4 linked regions of the Canis lupus familiaris genome follow. The protein of the gene in region 3 interacts with the protein of the main gene of each other region in a biochemical or structural test. Links are inferred from orthologs where the notes say so. Each region holds a gene or a part of one and is shown on either strand. Other genes may lie near its edges. The genes, in order: SSTR5, CRHR1, GOPC and RPS6KA1.

Region 1 (3,755 bases), on a different chromosome or scaffold from region 3:
AGGCACAGGGAACCCCAGCAGGTGGGGTGGCGGGAGACACTGGGGCTCCCAGGGCGGGAGGCCGGGCCTGGCATTCGCTGGCGTTGAGTGCCCCGGACGGCGCTGCCTTCCCAGGGCTGCTATTGCATTGGGAGCCGCTCCCTCTGCTCTGTCTCCCACCCTCGCCAGGCCAGAGCCCCCGGCGGAAGCAGAAGAGGGGGCTGTAGGGGCCCGGCCCTCCCCAGGGCGGCCTCTCCGAGGCCCTAGGACCCTCTGCCAGGGCCCCCTGGACACCTGTGTCCCCCGGACCCCTGATTCAGCCACTTTGCCGGCGGCCCCCCCAACCCACGCCCACCAGGGAGCCCTCGGCGTCCGGCCCACCCCTCGTTGCCCCCTCAGCCCTGACTGTGGGGTCTCCATGGTAACGGAGCTCTGCAGCCCCAGACGTCTGCCCTGGGATCCCCGCCCGCCCACAGCCTTGCCCCTTCACACCAGCCAGCTCCCGCCATCGGCTCCAGGTCCCAGGAGCGCTGGGGGCAAGGCCAGAGCCCCGTGCGGTCAGCTGTCGTCACGGACTCACACTGGACTGGGCCATGCAGGGCGGATGTGAGGAGGCACCGGGACAGGAGGGCAGAGTCAGGGCAGGCGGCACCAGCTCACACCAGTGGTCACTCCCCGGCCTGGCCAGCTAGCACAGGCTGGGGGCAGGGTAGCAGGCCACCAACGCCCTGAGCCCCGCCTGGGACACCCGTCCTCTCCCGCCCACTCCCTCCATCCCTGAAGCCGGCCTCTGCGGCGAGAACAGGCAGGTGGCAGAGACAGCCTGTCACTGCAGGGCCACCCACGGTCTCGACCCAGACAACTGGTCCTCACACTCCATGGAGCAGCCAGGCTGCGGCAGGGGGGCACCTCGGCGGGCAATCCGGACCGAGCCGGGCAGGGGCCACCCGGGGCCAGGCGCCCGCGGCCCTCACAGCCGGCTGGTCTGCATGAGCCCGTTGGCCTCGGAGCCGCGTGCGGGCAGCATGGCCTCCTGCAGCCGGCTGCTCTTGTCGGGCTGTGGCTCTGTGGCCTCTGCGTCCTCGGCGCCGTAGCCCTTGCGGAGGCACAGAACCTTCCGGAAGCTTTGGCGGAAGTTGTCAGAGAGGAAGCCATAGAGCACAGGGTTGGCGCAGCTGTTGGCGTAGGACAGGATGACCACGAAGAAGTAGGCGCCGGCAGAGGCGGGCTCCTCGGGCAGGACGAAGGCCAGGTTGACGATGTTGACGATGAAGAAGGGCAGCCAGCAGCCCACAAACACCACCACCACCACCACCACCATGCGGGTCACCTTGCGCTCCGAGCGCCGCCGCGTGGCGCCCACGCGCACGCCGGACGCCTTCACCTTGACCACGATGAGCAGGTAACAGAGGCAGATGACCAGCAGCGGCCCGAAGAAGCCCAGCACGGACGTGTAGATGATGAACACGGCGCCCCACAGGCCCACGGGCTCGGGCCAGCTGAGGTTGCAGGTGTTCCAGCCCTCCTGGATGTCCGCGAAGACCACCAGCGGCAGGGACATGAGCAGCGAGAAGGCCCAGACGGCGGCACTGGCCAGCTTGGCCACCCTGGGGCGGCGCCAGCGGGTGGAGCGGATGGGGTGGACCACGGCCAGGTAGCGGTCCACGCTCATGACCGTCAGGCAGAAGATGCTGGTGAACTGGTTGATGCCGTCCAGCGTCATGACCAGGCGGCACAGGACGGGGCCGAAGGGCCAGTAGGAGACGGCGTTCTGTGTGGCCAGGAAGGGCAGCCCCAGCATGAGCAGCACGTCGGCCACGGCCAGGTTGAGGATGTAGATGTTGGTGACCGTCTTCATCTTGGCGTGCCGCAGCACCACGTAGATGACCAGCGCGTTGCCACCCAGCCCCGCCGCACACACCAGCAGGTACAGCACCGGCACCACCACCGCTCGGGCCCCTGGCGAGGGCGCCAACCCCGCCTGCGTCCCGTTGTCGCCGCCGCCTCCGGGGGCCGCCGAGGAGGCGTTCCAGCCGGCCAGCGTGGGCGCCGGGAACAGGGGCTCCATCGCGGCCGCTGCGGGCCGGGCAGGGCGGGCGCAGGCGCGGCGCGTCCTCTCTGCAGAGAAAAGGGAGGACGGGAGCGGTTAACGGGCCAGGGTGCTTCCTCCCCGCGGCCCCGCCCGCCCCAGGAAGGCACGGGATCGCCCCACGGCGGGTAAACACGATTACTCATGTCCAGCTCGGCCGGGAGTCACATTAAGCAAATTGTTTGGAAAACAAGCGCAGAGAGGAAGGAGCAGAGGGACAGCGCCGTATCCTCCGTGGGTCCCCCGACGGCGTCCCTACGGCCCTGGCTGCTCCAGCACGGCCCCCGCCCAGCCTCCACCTGCCTCGGCCACCAGGGTCTCCTCTGGGGGCCTCGGGGTGTCATCGCCAGGACGGGTGGGGAAGGAGGGGGTGGTGATAGGAAGTAAGGACGGCGGCCCACCCGCCAAGCCCCCCCTCACCCCCCTGGACGCGCAGGTACACCTGCCGAGCCCCACTGTCCTGGGGGCCTCCTGGAGCCCGGGTAGCGCGCCAGGCCTTCCGCACGGCTGAGGAGCCACACTCAGGCTGCCCGGGCCCTGCCAGCGTCCACCAGGCTCTCAGGAGCGCCATCCCCAGAGAGCCCCGCAGAGCCCGCAGATGCCCGGGGGACTTGCTTACCGGCCCCCAGAGCAGCCGCTACAGGCGATGTCCCCAGCCCAGGACACAACGTGGGAAACAGCTCGGGGTCCCACCACCACACCCGCAAGGGCCTGCTCCCACCCGTCACCTCCGCAGCCCAGGCAGACGGCGGTCCTCCACACAAGCCGTAAGCCAGCATCGGACACACAGGACACATGGAATGACGCCCGGGCCGCAAGTCGGGAGGAAATGCGTGTGGGGGCGGGGGGCTGGCTACCGGGAAGGGGCGTGTGCGGGGTTTCATGGAGAAAGAGCAGAGAACGTTAACCTCCTCAGGTCAAGGTCATGGGCACACATGTCCCCTTACGCAGCATCAGTACTTCTCCGCGTGTCTGAGAAGGTTCACGCAAGTGATGATGCTCAGGAGAAGACAAGCATCTCGGAAGCCGAGAGGGAGAGGACGGGGATGGAGCCTCGGTGGGCACGCAGCACAGGGGACCCCTGAGCCCCGCCTGGCTGGCCCCCCGGGCACGTCGGAGCGGAGCGCACCCCCAGTGGCTACTGGTCAGGACCCAGGAGATGAGCGGGGGCGGGGGGGGAGGGGACTCAGAATAAGGTCAGTGCCCTCGGCTCCTCTGGGCGGACACTCTCCGACCGCTCAGGTCACTCGGTGATGGGACACTAGGAGATGCGACCCAGGGCACCAGCGATGGGGAGGTGGGTCAGTGGCTATAGCTCGTTCCTACTTGTAATAGGAATCGACAAGTATGTTTAAGATCTATTTAAATAAATATGTTTAAAAATAAATAAATATGTTTAGGATCCTCAATAAGGCACGAATAAAAATATCATGATATAAATTTGGCTGCCTAAGAAGTAAAATGAACAAGTGTGTATTTTTGAAAGTTACAACTCTTGGGTGTGAAAAATCCTTTGGACTTAAAAAAAAAAATCCAAAAAAATCAGAATCGACTTGGGTCTGGATACAGCTGAAGAGAGAATCGGGGAATGGGAGCGGGGCTGAGGCGCCCCCGGAGCGCGGCACGCTGAGGACAGGGCACAAGCATGGGGGGCGCTGGTCCGGCAGCCGCTGAGCAGCTCCGGGGG
Region 2 (4,161 bases), on a different chromosome or scaffold from region 3:
TCCAGGTACTGCCACCCACCCCTCACTCTGGCCCTGGCTGTGCTCTGCACTTGCTTGGGTGGGGATTCTTTCAGACAAGGGTCTGGAGGGGTGGAGGCTGTGGAGAGGAAGGGGGTGGCCCGGAGGCTAGGTGGGGCCATACCTGTCCCTGTGCCTTGACCCGCCTTCTCTGTCCACCCCAGGGTTTCTTTGTGTCTGTATTCTACTGTTTCCTCAACAGTGAGGTAAGGATGCCGGGGCCCCAGAGCTCAGGATGGTGGGGGGTGGGGGACTTCTGGGACCTGAGATTGTCTATAGCCTCCTCCTGCCCTCCACATGCCAGCTCCTCCTCCCTGCCCCCAGGTCCCTAATGAGGATGCAGCCAGGAGCCCCAGGAGGGCCCCTGACACCTGCCCACACTGCTCCTATAGTGGCAAGCCCACTGCTTTGCTCCCATAGGCAGTTGGCACAGGGAGTCAGAAGTCAGGGCTTCAGTCCCATCGATGAGTCTGTGAAAATGCTTGTTGAAAACAGGAAGGGCTAAGCCCTTGGGCAGGGCATGCATATGTGCTGAAGGTAGGAATTCTTTGTGGCAAAGGCCATCGGTGCCTCTGTGTGGATGGGAAAAAGTCTTCTCTTCTCAGAATACTTGCAAAAATCATCCTAACAAATAGGCAAATAATGTTGATGACATGCATGGCACCTCCTCCTGTGTGGCCCCCTTTGCGTTTCACACCTGCGTACTGCACGCCTGCAGACTGCTCACGTGTACTGCTGCTTGTGGCAGCCCTAGGGGATGGAAGGGAGTCCTGAGATCCAGGCTCAGACACCATGCTCTGCTCTGTGCCCACAGGTCCGCTCTGCCATCCGGAAGAGGTGGCATCGATGGCAGGACAAGCACTCGATCCGTGCCCGCGTGGCCCGCGCCATGTCCATCCCCACCTCTCCCACCCGTGTCAGCTTCCACAGTATCAAGCAGTCCACGGCAGTCTGAGCTGGAGGGCCACGGAGCGGAAGATGGTCTCCAGGCTTGGCCAGCTGCCCTATCTATGGAGGGGACCAAATCCTTCTCACAATCTGTATCCCCAGAAGCATCTGGCACTGACAGCGTGGGCCCCACCCCACCCCCCCGGCCCCGGAATGAGCAGGAGTTCTAGGCCTATGAGAGCAGCCATAGTCTGGGCCATGGGATGAATGGGAAATAACCTATAGGATTGGGCTGGGCCCAGGGCCTCTGGCTCCCTTGTGCCCCAAGTCCTCCCCGGAGATGGAATGAGAATGGAGTGGAGATGGCCAGCCAGAAAATCCAAGGCAGCACAGAGGTCCTTCCAAGAGGCGTCTTCTCCCAGAGCACAAGATGGCCAGCCTCCTGGAGACCTGGGGCCTGTCCTCAGCAACTGCAAGGCACCAATTGCTGCCCTAGGAGCATCATGGGAAACTCCTGTGACAGCATCCCAACCACCGTGATGATGCCTCTGGGTGTTGGCAATGCCTTCTAATACCAGTGGGAACCAAAGCCAGGTCACCAGAAAGCCCTGGCCATGTCATTAGAAACCAGGTGACATCATCAGACAGTAGGCCACACCACAAGAAATCCTCCCAAGCCACCATAATTTCATCTGGCACTGTGGCACTGCCATCAGAAATGCCCTGTCTCGCTGCCTTGTACCCTTGGACCTTTATGCCCTGCAGGCCACTCAGCCCCCCGCCCCGGTCCTTAACCACCCACAATACCCACACCCTGATGTGTCACCTCCTGCCCCTGGTGTCTCCCCCTGTGTGGGAAGTGGGGGTTGGAAGGAGATGGAGTGTCCTGTGAGCAAGAACCAGGGTGTGCCCCAGCCAAAGCCAGTCTCCCTTTTAGAGAACAGAGAATGCTCTGGGCCATCCTGCCTGCTGGTGTCAGTGGTCTGGCATCTGGGGCAGCCTCTCTACTGGGTACAGGGGGTTTCTGGTGCCTGGATGACCTCTGGAGCAGCATGATTAGCTAAGCAAAGATAGAAGGGGCAGGGGACTTGGATCCTCTCTGCCTGAGTGTCCTGGAGCAAGACAACTGGTTCTCGGGGCAATCAGCAGCCCCCACTGGACCCTCCTGTGTCCAGAGTACTGGGCCACTGGAGCCAGGCCTTGGGAGATAAGGTGTCAGCTGTGAGGGGGTGGCTGCTGTAAATAATAATATTTATCTTTTCAACCAGCATCTGTGAAGGTCTGGACTATGCGGGGTTGGGTGGGAAGGGCACAGCAGAGAAATGGAGGCCACTTTTCAGTCTGGGGCCAGCCAGCCTGTGGCTGGGAAACCTGACACCATTCACACCCATCCCGATGGGGTGCTAGGTGAGCCACTGGGGGCATGGGCCTGCGGACGCAGCTGACAAGGACGGCTCTTAAAAGGGATGAGTCATAGGGAGAGAAGGGCCACAGGTGAGCAGTGCTGGCCAAGGACACTAGAGGGGTCAGGGCCCATGGCGACAGCTCTAGCCAAGGTGTGGCAATGGGACCAGGCAGGAATGTCTCCCAGCCCCAAGGGAAGGGCCAAGCTGGAAGCAGGAAGTAGAGTTAAGGAGGCCTTGACACTGTCTCAGCTTGAGAGCCCCAGAAACAGAGCCAGAGACAAGGTTTCCAGAACCAAGTAGGGAAGGGGAGCACGGGGAGCGGGTGGGGGCGGGAGGCCAGGCCAGGGAGGCGGCCGGAGCAGGGGTGCCCACACCACAGCCACTACTAGGGGCAGCTGGAGCATAATCCTACTGCAGAAGCCCGAGGGGGCATCCCCGCCTTCAGCCCACCTGAGGGGCCACAGGGGAGGAAGGCTGCCCCCGGGGGTAGGGAGCACAGGGGCCACATGACAACAGAGACACAGAGAGAGAGATACACACTGAGGGAGCGTGCACAGGCACAGCAGGGTGTGGTGGGAGGCAGCCTGAGGGCAGGAGAGGGGGTGGGACGTGGAAACTCCACCCTGGCACACAGGGACCAGGGACTCGGGGAGGGGACCAGAGGCACCAGGACAGAGACAGGCTGATGGCCCCAGGAAGGGACCAGAAGTGCCTGAGGAATCTCAAACGGGCCACAATTGAGGCATCTTTCTCAACTGTTATTCGCCCAGTGAAGAAGTGAGAAAGCAAGGCTTCTCCTGTACGAGTTGGGCTGTGGGGACAGGGCTCCCCAAGGACAGAGCAGCCTGGGAGGAGGAGGAGAGGACATTGTAAGGAGGTTGCTTGGACAAGAGGTCCTGGGTGGGGGGCAAGCTGAGGCAGTGTCCCTTCTGCTTGTGCCTCCTTCCAAGCACCTACTGTGCATTCGAAACTGCCAGGCCCAGCACAAGGCGGGGAGATGAGTAGCCCCCCGAGATGAGTGCCAGCAGCCAACTGCAAAGCCTGGAGCTGCCGGGTCTTGAAAGCCATCAGAGGACACCTCCAGGACGGGGCTGACAGTCATCAGAGGAGCTCCTGGGGGAAGTGGGGGGCAGGCAGGGGCTGGTCCAGATGAGCCTCAGGACACCTCCCATTCAGAGACTGTAAGGGAGGAGGGGCTGCTTCAGGAACATCTGGGCCCCAGAGAACTGTAACTCCTCTGCGGGGGTGGGGGAGGGCAGGTGCCCAGGGTATAAGCCTGTCACAGCCCAGGGCTCAGGAAGCAGGGTGAAGGCAGGCCCCCAGATGGGGTTTCTGAGGGTCATTGTTCCCTGAGGTTCAGCCTGAGGGTATAAGGGATGGATACACATGCCACTGTGCTGGGGCAGAGGCCTGGCAACCACAGGGGGAGGGGGTCACTGCAGGACAGACCGCTCCCTCAAGCCTGGAGGCCACAGTCCCCTGGAGTACCCCATCCGAGCCCGTTTCTCCTTGGGACCCTCCTTCATGGGCACAGATCCCCAGGGGAGGAAAATCCCCACTGTGTGGTTTCCATTTCGGGCTCCTCCACCTCTAAGTGTGATGACAGGCCCCTGCCCTGGGGTCCTCAGCATCCCCTTCAGGCCTCCTCAGTCCTCCTGCTGCTGCTGGGTCAGATGCCCTAGGATAGGGCAGGGGAGGGAGCCAGATGTGGGAAAACATGTGCTAAGGAGGCAGGGAGGTTTTAGAATCCAGGTAATAACACCTTAATTGTGGGCATTTGTAAACTGCTTTGCAATCTGTATAATCCTTTATGATATCATCTAATCCTCAAGTAACTCAAGGAGGCAGA
Region 3 (4,161 bases):
ATAAGTAGAAAAATTTTTTAAGTCTCATTTCAGCTTAATCTCGTACTTGTTAAGTGTGCAAGTATGTGCCAGACACTTGGTTGACCATAGGGGACACAGCAGTAAGATAGATATAGCTTGGGAGAGGCAGGAAATGAAATGAGGATGATGATAGTCATACATTTTTAAATTTTACTTGTTAGAATTTATTTAAATGAATATTTCCATTCTCCTTAAATCTTTTAAATTCAGAAATTCTATGAATCTAAGTTAGTAACCTTGTTCTCTTTAACTGAAATGAGTCAGATTTCTCACTGCTTTTTTGGGATATTTGATGTTTACGTTGAGAAACAGTGTATACATTTTCACTAGAAAAGAGTTTACTTGAAGTTTTAATGTTAGATCTGAAGCAGGGTGCTGTAGTAGAAGGCACTGAACCAGGTGAGCTGACTAATTTGGTAAAACAAAAAGTTTTAATCTAACACTGTGTAGTTACTGTAGGTTATGGATTTGCAAATATATTTGTTCTAATGAACTTTACCCAAATGATATTCAACGTATGGGAGTTTTCCTTATAATGATTATACCACTAGATAAATTCATTTGTTTGATATTTTTCTAATTATCAAACTTTTTTCTTATATCTTAAGTCTGTCCCCTCTGTGGAGGAGCTGGTAAGTATGTTGTTTCTGTTTGGCTTTAATACGTTACGCTGAAGTGTTCTTATTGTCTTATTTGCATATTATATGTTGTCACTTTGTATTTGGATGTGATGTTCATGATGATAGTTTTTTAATCTTCCAGTACCTGAAAAGTTCAGTTGGTGGCCCATTGCTCTTTTCTCAGTACACGTTGTGAAAGATTTTTCTTTTGTTTGTGATTTATAACCATTATTTACAGAGCCCATCCATTTTTGACAACTTTTAAGCCTTGTAACTTGTTGAAACCTCTACTTCAAAAGAGCAATTGGTTTTCCCACTTGAGTATTTTGAAGATATATTAAGAACACCTAGCTTTTTTCTCTTTTTCTATTTGAACTTATCCCCAGAGAAAGAATGTGCATGTTGGTTTCGTATTCATCTTCTGCATGTGTCACAACTTTTTAGCAGTCTTGGAATAATTGTGTGGCCTTTGAAACAACTGAATTTTGAAACTTTTTGCCAGAACTTATTTTAGAAAATAACAATGTATAAATTCTTAATATTTTCCTCACTATGCTAACCTAATCAGGTTCCAGTTTGTCTGATGGCTTTATTTCTTTTGAAAATACACTGTTTGGCTCTCTAAATACAAAATGAGCTTCTTGCTTATTACCTAATAAATGGGCTAACTAAAGATTCATATTTTTTTTCTTTAAAAACTAAAAAGATTAACTTCAGTTTTCTTAGTCCTATTCATGTTTGCGAATGTTATTTTCAGGCCTGACAGTTTGTCAGAATCATTAGGTGTTTGAATCATGAAAGCAAAGTGGTGACTTAATATGTGTTTTGTAAATTCCATAAATACTGTATAAATAGGTTATCAGGGCAATTGTACATAGACAAATATCAATGTAAAGTTTATTTAGCCCATAAACCAAAGAATACTTGGTCTTCTGGAACTTTTTTTCTGAAACAAATAGCATTAACTTCAGTAAATGTCATAAGAAAGCTTATTGTTCATGTTATCTAAACTGTGGAGTTTTTTTGGAACTGATTCTTGCCTTTCAAGAAATATGCTCTGAAATAAATTGCAATTTTAATAATTCTAAAGTTGTAAAAGGAGGATTCTAGATTATTCTTCAGATTCTTGAAAAACAGTAATCAAAGAGGCAGTAAATATATCTACCATTTGGTAATGACTCATTTTAGCTTGTATATTATTTTTTTGTGTTTAAGACTGTGGTACTCACTGCCTTATATTTGAATATGTCATATATTGATGTTTTAGTGTATCATTTATTGATATACTATTGAGAAAACAGTAGACCAAAGCAGACATTAGATTAGTACCAAAGTATATTCCAGAATTGTTAGAGGTTTGTTTGAATTTGTTTCTCAGCTTACTACCCAGAATAAAAAGGGAAATAATTACAATAATCAGTACCCATACAAATAGAAACAGTATCATTTGTCGTTTGCTCAAGAGAAGCATTTTTTTCTGGTGCTGAGCAAGACCTTTATTTAAGTCTCACAAAGGGGACAGGGTGAACAGTTTCTTCCACATCTCATCAACAGATACAACCACATTTACACAGGATTTATAGATTCTGTTTATCAGTAAATCGGTAAAAGCAGTTCTATAAGGCAGTAAAAACATTTCTACTCAGAATAAATGGAAGTTTACAGTGTTTTGTTAATCCAAAAACAACACTTAAAATATCTATCAGGGCCCTTATTCAACTCTTGGAAGAGTTTTATTTGGCCACAGAGCTTTTGTGTATTTGAGTTTGACTGCCTTTAGGCAGGGATTTTGTACCTTCCATTTTCCACTCGACTTTGTCTTGTATTGGTCTGTTTTGTGCTTGGGTCCCTGAAGGCATTTACATTGGTCACCCCTGAGTTGTAGGAGTAGACATATTGTACTTTATACTTTTAAGGTAAATTGAACATTATTTCTCATATGTAAGCTTGTGATAAAAATTGGATGGCAAAGATCTTGAGGTTTTATACTCTAGCTAACACCTGTAATTCACATATATAGACTCTCTACCAAGTAGAGCATTCTTTTATGAGAATTAAAAATGGATGTCCATCCTACCTCCTAGAAGGCAGGTAGGGAGGGCCCTGTTTTCCTCCACAAACATTTATTTTACTTCATTCACTTTGACATAGGGATAGATGAATCACATCCCCAAAATCAGTGATAATCTGTACCATAGATATGGTCATGCAGAGAAATTTTTTAATGTATAAATTTTTCAGTACGTTTGTTACCAGCATTTTTCCATTACCATCAAACATTCTTTAAAAAAAAATTAGAGTATCTGTTCTAATTTAAGCAGTTTAAGTTTCTGGTAGTCCTCTAAGGTAAATTAACCATGGAATCTATGTAAGTGAAGAATTTTGACTTGTTTATAGAATTATTGCTTTAAAGTTAATTAAGTGTTTGGATACAGCCACCAGAGTGATTTTTTTTTTATTTTAGTCTAGTTTCTTGAGTCATTTTTAGAAAATAAATAGGGAGAAGATTCAGTTATTCATTGCAACCACTCCTATTAGTGTATGATGACATAAGCTTAGAAAATACTAATTATTTTAGTATCCTCAGTGTCAGAGTACCCCAAGGCATGAAATTATCTTATGTGGAAGTGGTCCCAACACCTTCTGGTACTAGTTAAAAAGAACTGGATCCAAATCTTTGTATGCTCCATTTTATAGAAATGGTAACTTTTATCATATGCTTTCATTGTTGGTATTGTAACAGACTGTGCGCTTTTATGTATTTTGAGAAACATGGTATGTTGCTAAAAAGCCTTAAAAAAGTATTTTCATTACATTGTGCGTGGGTTTTGTTTTTGTTTTTGTTTTTGTGTTTTAAATAGGAGAGAGAGCTGGAAGCAAACAAAAAAGAAAAAATGAAAGAAGCTCAACTTGAAGCTGAAGTGAAGTTGTTGAGAAAAGAGAATGAAGCCCTTCGTAGACATATAGCTGTTCTCCAGGCTGAAGTTTATGGGGCAAGACTGGCTGCCAAGTACTTGGATAAGGAACTGGCAGGAAGGTGTGTAAAAAATGAGTGCCTTGTATTCTTAAGTAGCTAGATATTTAGTGAGGTTGACTCTTACCTCTTATGGTAAATGAAACATTAATCTTTATCTTAAGAGTTATTTTATAGGGCAGCCAGGGTGGCTCAGCGGTTTAGCACCGCCTTCAGCCCAAGGCGTGATCCTGGAGACCCAGGATCGAGTTCCTGCGTCAGCCTTCCTTCATGGAGCTTGCTTCTCCCTCTGCCTGTGTCTCTGGCTCACTCTCTCTCTCTGTCTTACTGTTAATATTGATAGCATTATATATTGTAGATTTATTTAGCCATACTACATAAGTATTTCTGGTTTACACATACACAAACACACACACTGATAGGAACTTACTCTGACATGCTAGTAACTCTAGATCTGCACCTTTCAGCCACTTCCTGCCTTGAAACCATAAAAGATGATGTTCACATGTATAGCCTTTCTTAAGGAATTCTTTCTGTGATCATTGA
Region 4 (4,925 bases), on a different chromosome or scaffold from region 3:
GTGTGTCACCACCTCATTATCTTGTGACTTTCATCCGTGTTCTAGTCTCCCCTCCTTAGGATCAGAGGAGGTGAGGAGGGCTCTCTCCTTGGGGTCCCCCTGGGGTCATGGGCTTGGGTCTATAATGTCCCCTCCTCAGCAGGGGAGCCTGACCCATCTTCTGTCCCTCCTCTCTGCAGAGGGGAAGTGAGAAGGAGGGGGTCAGGGACCCTGCCTTCTGGGCCAGGAAGGCTGAAAAAGCAGAAGTAGAGGAATAACGGGGCCCTTTGGCCACCGGCTTGAGCCCCACCATGCAGACCCCGGCAGATTTCCCCAGGGGTGAGAGAGACACACTCCCCTATCCCAGAAAGGTGAGCAGAGGGTTGGTCTGCCTCCAGCAATGTCTTGTCACCATGGCCTTGGGCAAGGAATGGGTTTGGGAGTGGCTCTGTCCCCTGGGGTTTCCGGGTGACTGCTTCTGTCCCCAGGGAGTGTTCTCAGACGCAGGCAAGCAGAGGCTCAAACCTCAGGGCGGGGTGGGCAAGGGTTGCTGTGTGGCCTTGGCTCACCTCAATCCCTATGTCCCACCCAGGGTTATGCTCAGGGGCCTGAAGAGCCTGTAGCTTCTTATGACTGTAGCTTTTGTGGCTCTCTGAGGTCCCCTGAAGATGGGGCCGTGTCTGTCGGGTCCTAGACCTAGAATGGGAAGTCCCTGGACTGATCCCGGTACTGAGGGAGGGGATGGGCTTGGATGGGCAGGGCATGGCTCTCGCTGACTTACCTGCTCACCCTTTCCTGGCACTTGAGGCCTGCTGACCCCATGCCAGGCAGTAACTAGGGGAAGGGTTTGAGTGTCACTGGCTCTGTCACTGGTCCATTCTCAGGCTGGGTGAGTCACGGTCCTCTGGCCCTTGGTTTCCTGTATCTGAAATGGGGATAACAGATTTGGGAAACCTGGATCAGAGTCAAAGCCATCAGACTGCATTCTCAGCCCACTGTGTTAGTCCTGGGGCCTCTCCAGGCCCTGGCATGGGATGAAACCTCAGAGGTGTGTCTGCCATGAATACTGGGCTGCTCTCTAAGATGCAGGATGTTTGCAGGTGATATCCCCTCACCTCTTCCCCCACCCCACCTCCCAGAAGACTAGCAAGAACCCAGAGCTCTGCCCTTGAGTTCCGGGCCTGGCTTTCTGTGCACTGGCCTGGGTATCTGTCAGTCTACTTGGGCCTTACTGACTGGCTTTCTCTTTCTGTGTCCCACCTGCCTCTGTTGTCGGGTTCCTGTCTCTTGCCACTTGATGAGTGCCTGTCTTCACCTGTTGGGTACATGTCACGTGTTGGGTGCCTGTTGGGTGGTGTCCCCTTCTGTCTCTGCCTGTTGAGTACATGTCCCCATCTGTCTCCACTTGTTGGATGCAAACCCCCATCTGCCTCTGCCTGTTGGGTCCCCATCTGTCTCTGCCTGTTGAGTTCACGTCCCCTTCTGTCTCTGCCTGTTGGATATATGCCCCATGCACCTCTACCTGTCAGGTATGAGTTCCCTCCTGCCTCTGTTTCGGTGGGTACATGTCCCCATCTGTCTCTGATCATTGGGTAAGTGTTCTTCCTACCTCCCTTTGCTGGGTATGTGTCCCTATCCATCCTTGCCTGGTGGGCATGTGTACCCTCCCACCTCTGCCTGTTGGATGCCTACCTTGGTCTGTCTTTACCTGTTGATGCCTGCCTCTATCTGTTGGGTGTCCCTCTTTATCTGCCTCTGCATGTTAGATGCCAGTCTTTGCCTGTTGGGTACCTGTCTCCCCCTCAGCAGCTGGAGTGGCATGGGGCTCTCCCTTTGTAGGCCCACAGGGAGGATGGGGGAAGGGGGAGGGCCGGAGGGCAGCACTCAGGCAACGGGGAGGGGGGCAAAAGAGAGGAAGGGAACGTGGTAAGATTGTAGGCCTGGAGCTGGGAAACCACAGGCCCTAAGTGATTGGCGGTGCTGAGCTGGGCCCAGCCCCCGCCCTCACCCTGCACATCCGCCTTGGGCCCGGCCACCTCGGAGGCAGCCCCGGACGCTGCCTGCTCCTGCCATGGTGCCTTGGCCCTGCCGGGCGAATGGAGCAGGATCCCAAGCCGCCCCGCCTGCGGCTCTGGGCCCTGCTCCCCTGGCTGCCCAGGAAGCAGCGGCCCAGGACCAGCCAGACCTCTTTGCCTGCCCCTGGCCCTGGCTCTGGCCCCAGGCGGGACTTGGTGAGTGTGCCCAGATGTGTGGTCCTGGCCCAGCTGTGGTCCTTGGAGCAGGTGCCTGGGCAGCTAGTTTGGCCTTAGTTGGCTTCCGGCTCTCCTAGCCCAGGCCTGGCCCTACTGGACAACTGGACCCTGCCCAGACTTGCTTCCTGGGGAAGTGAGGAAGCACTTCAGGGCTCCAGGGCAATCCCGGCAGATTGGAGGGAGGGCAGAAGGGTCCTAGAACAACTAGGACCAGCAACGGATTTTTAGAAAACTCCTAGAAGGAAGTTTCAAAGAGTGGATCATGGAGTCTCGGCCTTAGCTCCTGTCCACCCCTGACTGGCACTTACTGGGTTGGTGGGGGTGGTCTCTAGTGACTCTTGAGTGTCTGTGCATCTGAGCACTGTCCTTCTGGCCAAGGATCCTCTCATCCATTCTGACCCGGAACAAAAGCCTGGCTCTACCTCCCCGGTATGAGAATACACACTACTTCCTATTGTGGCAAAACTAACACCTTTGCAGCAGGGGGAGGGGAGTCCCACAGGCAGGACCTGGGCTGTGCCTGGGTATCCCTTTGGGTCTCACCAGGTCAGAGCAGCAGGGGCAGTAGGAGCAGTGCCTCCCCCTGACTCAGCACCTTGGTAGTTTGACCATCCCTGGCCCTTGAGGCCCTTTTGGTATTGATGAACCAGCAGGCTGGCCCCATCAGTATGGCCATCTGGTATGGCTAACAGGGCCCTGCCTCCAGGAGGAGTAGGCTAGGATGGGGACCATATTCCCTGCTCACCTGGATGGGACAACCATACTCACCAGCTCTGTTCCTCCATCAGGATGAGGGCGTCCTAAAGGAGATCTCCATCACGCACCATGTCAAGGCTGGCTCTGAGAAGGCCGACCCATCCCATTTTGAGCTGCTCAAGGTTCTGGGCCAGGGATCCTTTGGCAAAGTGAGTCCTGAGCCCAAACTGGGAGGGCAACTCATGTCAGAGGTGGGGGTTAGGGGTCACTTTGGGGTTCAGGATCAGAGGGCAAGGGTTGATGGGTCTGAGGGGAGGGCAGGAGGTCACTCTGGTACCCAGGGAGGCCCGAAGGTCAACCTAGGACTCTGGAAAATTAGAGGTCAACCTAGGACCCAGAGGATAGGAGCTGATAGGCTTAGTCCCCTCCCCAATTTCTCTGCTTTTTCCCATTGCCTTCTCAGGTCTTCCTAGTGCGGAAAATCACCCGACCTGATAGTGGGCACCTGTATGCCATGAAGGTACTAAAGAAGGCAACGCTGAAAGGTGAGTGAAGGTCACCTCCCCAAGCAGAGCCGAACTGGGCACAGGAGATGGGACTAGTGGGATGGGCAGGGTGCCAAGGGCTCTACTCTGGGCACTGCCGTGAGATGGGAGGGACACATGAAAGAGAGAGCCCTTCTTGGCCAGGGCTTGGGGATGACTGTTTTGAGGGGCTAGATTATCTGTGACTGCGTTTCTCTTCTGGCCAGTGCGTGACCGCGTTCGGACCAAGATGGAGAGAGACATCCTAGCAGATGTGAACCACCCATTTGTGGTGAAGCTGCACTATGGTGAGATCACAGACCCTACTTGAACTCCCACCCGACCTACCAGCCTTTGCCCTTGCCTGTGGGCTACTACCTTTCCCCTAGGTCACCCCTACCCCAGCAGACAAAGGGAGCTTAGGGTAGAGGGGCAGGGCCCAGGGCCCAGCTGGCTCCACCATTGCCTTTTCCCTCTCCCCAGCCTTCCAGACGGAGGGAAAGCTCTATCTTATCCTGGACTTCCTGCGTGGTGGAGACCTCTTTACCCGGCTCTCTAAAGAGGTAAGCTGACACTTGACTGCCATTGGGCCCCGGATTGGAGCTGGAGGGACAACGAGACCTCTTGTCCCAGGGCTCAGTGAAGAACATGTCCAGTGTGGCTTGGACTTGGGACCACTCAGGCTTGCCCCGCAGACCCGACCTAGGAACCCACTCTGGGACAGAGCGTACACCCTGGCAAAGCCTCAGAGTTTCTCCCAGGATGGAGGAGGAGGATCAGGCCATGGTTCTGATGCCACTCTGATTCCCAGGAGCTGAGGGTTCTTTCACCTCTGTACCTCCATTCTTCCGAGGTTGCCCTAGGCAGGGCTGTGAGGATGGGAAGAAATCCAAATCTGCCCAGAAATTTAGATATTTTAACATTATGTCCCATGTGTTAACCAAAAGGATTTTAACTGACATAAAAGAATTTGAGCCAGATATTAAAATGGGACCATTAATATAAGTCAAACTTGAGAAGAGAAACACGCTTTTAAAAAAATTTAAATGTTATTTTAGTGTTTGAATAGGTAATACGTTTACATGATTGAAAATAAAAATATTGAGAAGTCTTCCTCCCACCCCATCCCTCTATGCCCCCATAGGTAAACATTTTTATTGATTTCTTGGTTAAGTGCCCCAGGTTTCTTTAGTAATACAAACCATTCTGATACATGTTCTGAATTCCAACCCCCATTTCCTTACAAAAAGTACTACCCTGTATATACTGTTCTGCATCTTGCCTTGTTCGAGATGATGTATCTTAGAGATCAATCCATATCAGAACATGGAGAGACTCCTTGTCCTAGTTTATGGCTGCATAGCACTCCATCATGCACGGGAGAGACAATATATTCCAGTCTTCTGCTCAACCGTTGGGCTCTTTCCAACCCTTTTGCTATTTCCAAGCAGTGTCACAGTGAGTGACTCGTATA

What was found.
Region 1: the proteins of GOPC (region 3) and SSTR5 form a complex in vitro, tested with the Homo sapiens proteins (2 studies listed by BioGRID and IntAct, with this or other methods). The link is inferred for Canis lupus familiaris from reciprocal best matches to the Homo sapiens genes GOPC and SSTR5.
Region 2: the proteins of GOPC (region 3) and CRHR1 form a complex in vitro, tested with the Homo sapiens proteins (2 studies listed by BioGRID and IntAct, with this or other methods). The link is inferred for Canis lupus familiaris from reciprocal best matches to the Homo sapiens genes GOPC and CRHR1.
Region 4: the proteins of GOPC (region 3) and RPS6KA1 interact in a test that uses a peptide from one of them, tested with the Homo sapiens proteins (2 studies listed by BioGRID and IntAct, with this or other methods). The link is inferred for Canis lupus familiaris from reciprocal best matches to the Homo sapiens genes GOPC and RPS6KA1.

The regions. Positions count from the first base shown.
Region 1 is NC_049227.1:40,080,505-40,084,259, forward strand, and holds SSTR5 (somatostatin receptor type 5), read right to left. Parts: upstream 2,054-3,755; 5' UTR 2,048-2,053; coding exon 950-2,047; 3' UTR 728-949; downstream 1-727.
Region 2 is NC_049230.1:17,152,860-17,157,020, forward strand, and holds part of CRHR1 (corticotropin-releasing factor receptor 1), read left to right. Parts: coding exon 1-5; intron 6-182; coding exon 183-224; intron 225-832; coding exon 833-973; 3' UTR 974-4,161.
Region 3 is NC_049222.1:58,359,470-58,363,630, reverse strand, and holds part of GOPC (Golgi-associated PDZ and coiled-coil motif-containing protein), read left to right. Parts: intron 1-629; coding exon 630-653; intron 654-3,502; coding exon 3,503-3,678; intron 3,679-4,161.
Region 4 is NC_049223.1:72,913,960-72,918,884, reverse strand, and holds the start of RPS6KA1 (ribosomal protein S6 kinase alpha-1), read left to right. Parts: upstream 1-1,989; 5' UTR 1,990-2,075; coding exon 2,076-2,210; exon of another isoform or gene 2,211-2,978; intron 2,979-2,999; exon of another isoform or gene 3,000-3,019; coding exon 3,020-3,136; exon of another isoform or gene 3,137-3,390; coding exon 3,391-3,472; exon of another isoform or gene 3,473-3,678; coding exon 3,679-3,759; exon of another isoform or gene 3,760-3,934; coding exon 3,935-4,014; exon of another isoform or gene 4,015-4,925. UniProt on the Homo sapiens protein: Serine/threonine-protein kinase that acts downstream of ERK (MAPK1/ERK2 and MAPK3/ERK1) signaling and mediates mitogenic and stress-induced activation of the transcription factors CREB1, ETV1/ER81 and NR4A1/NUR77, regulates translation through RPS6 and EIF4B phosphorylation, and mediates cellular proliferation, survival, and differentiation by modulating mTOR signaling and repressing pro-apoptotic function of BAD and DAPK1.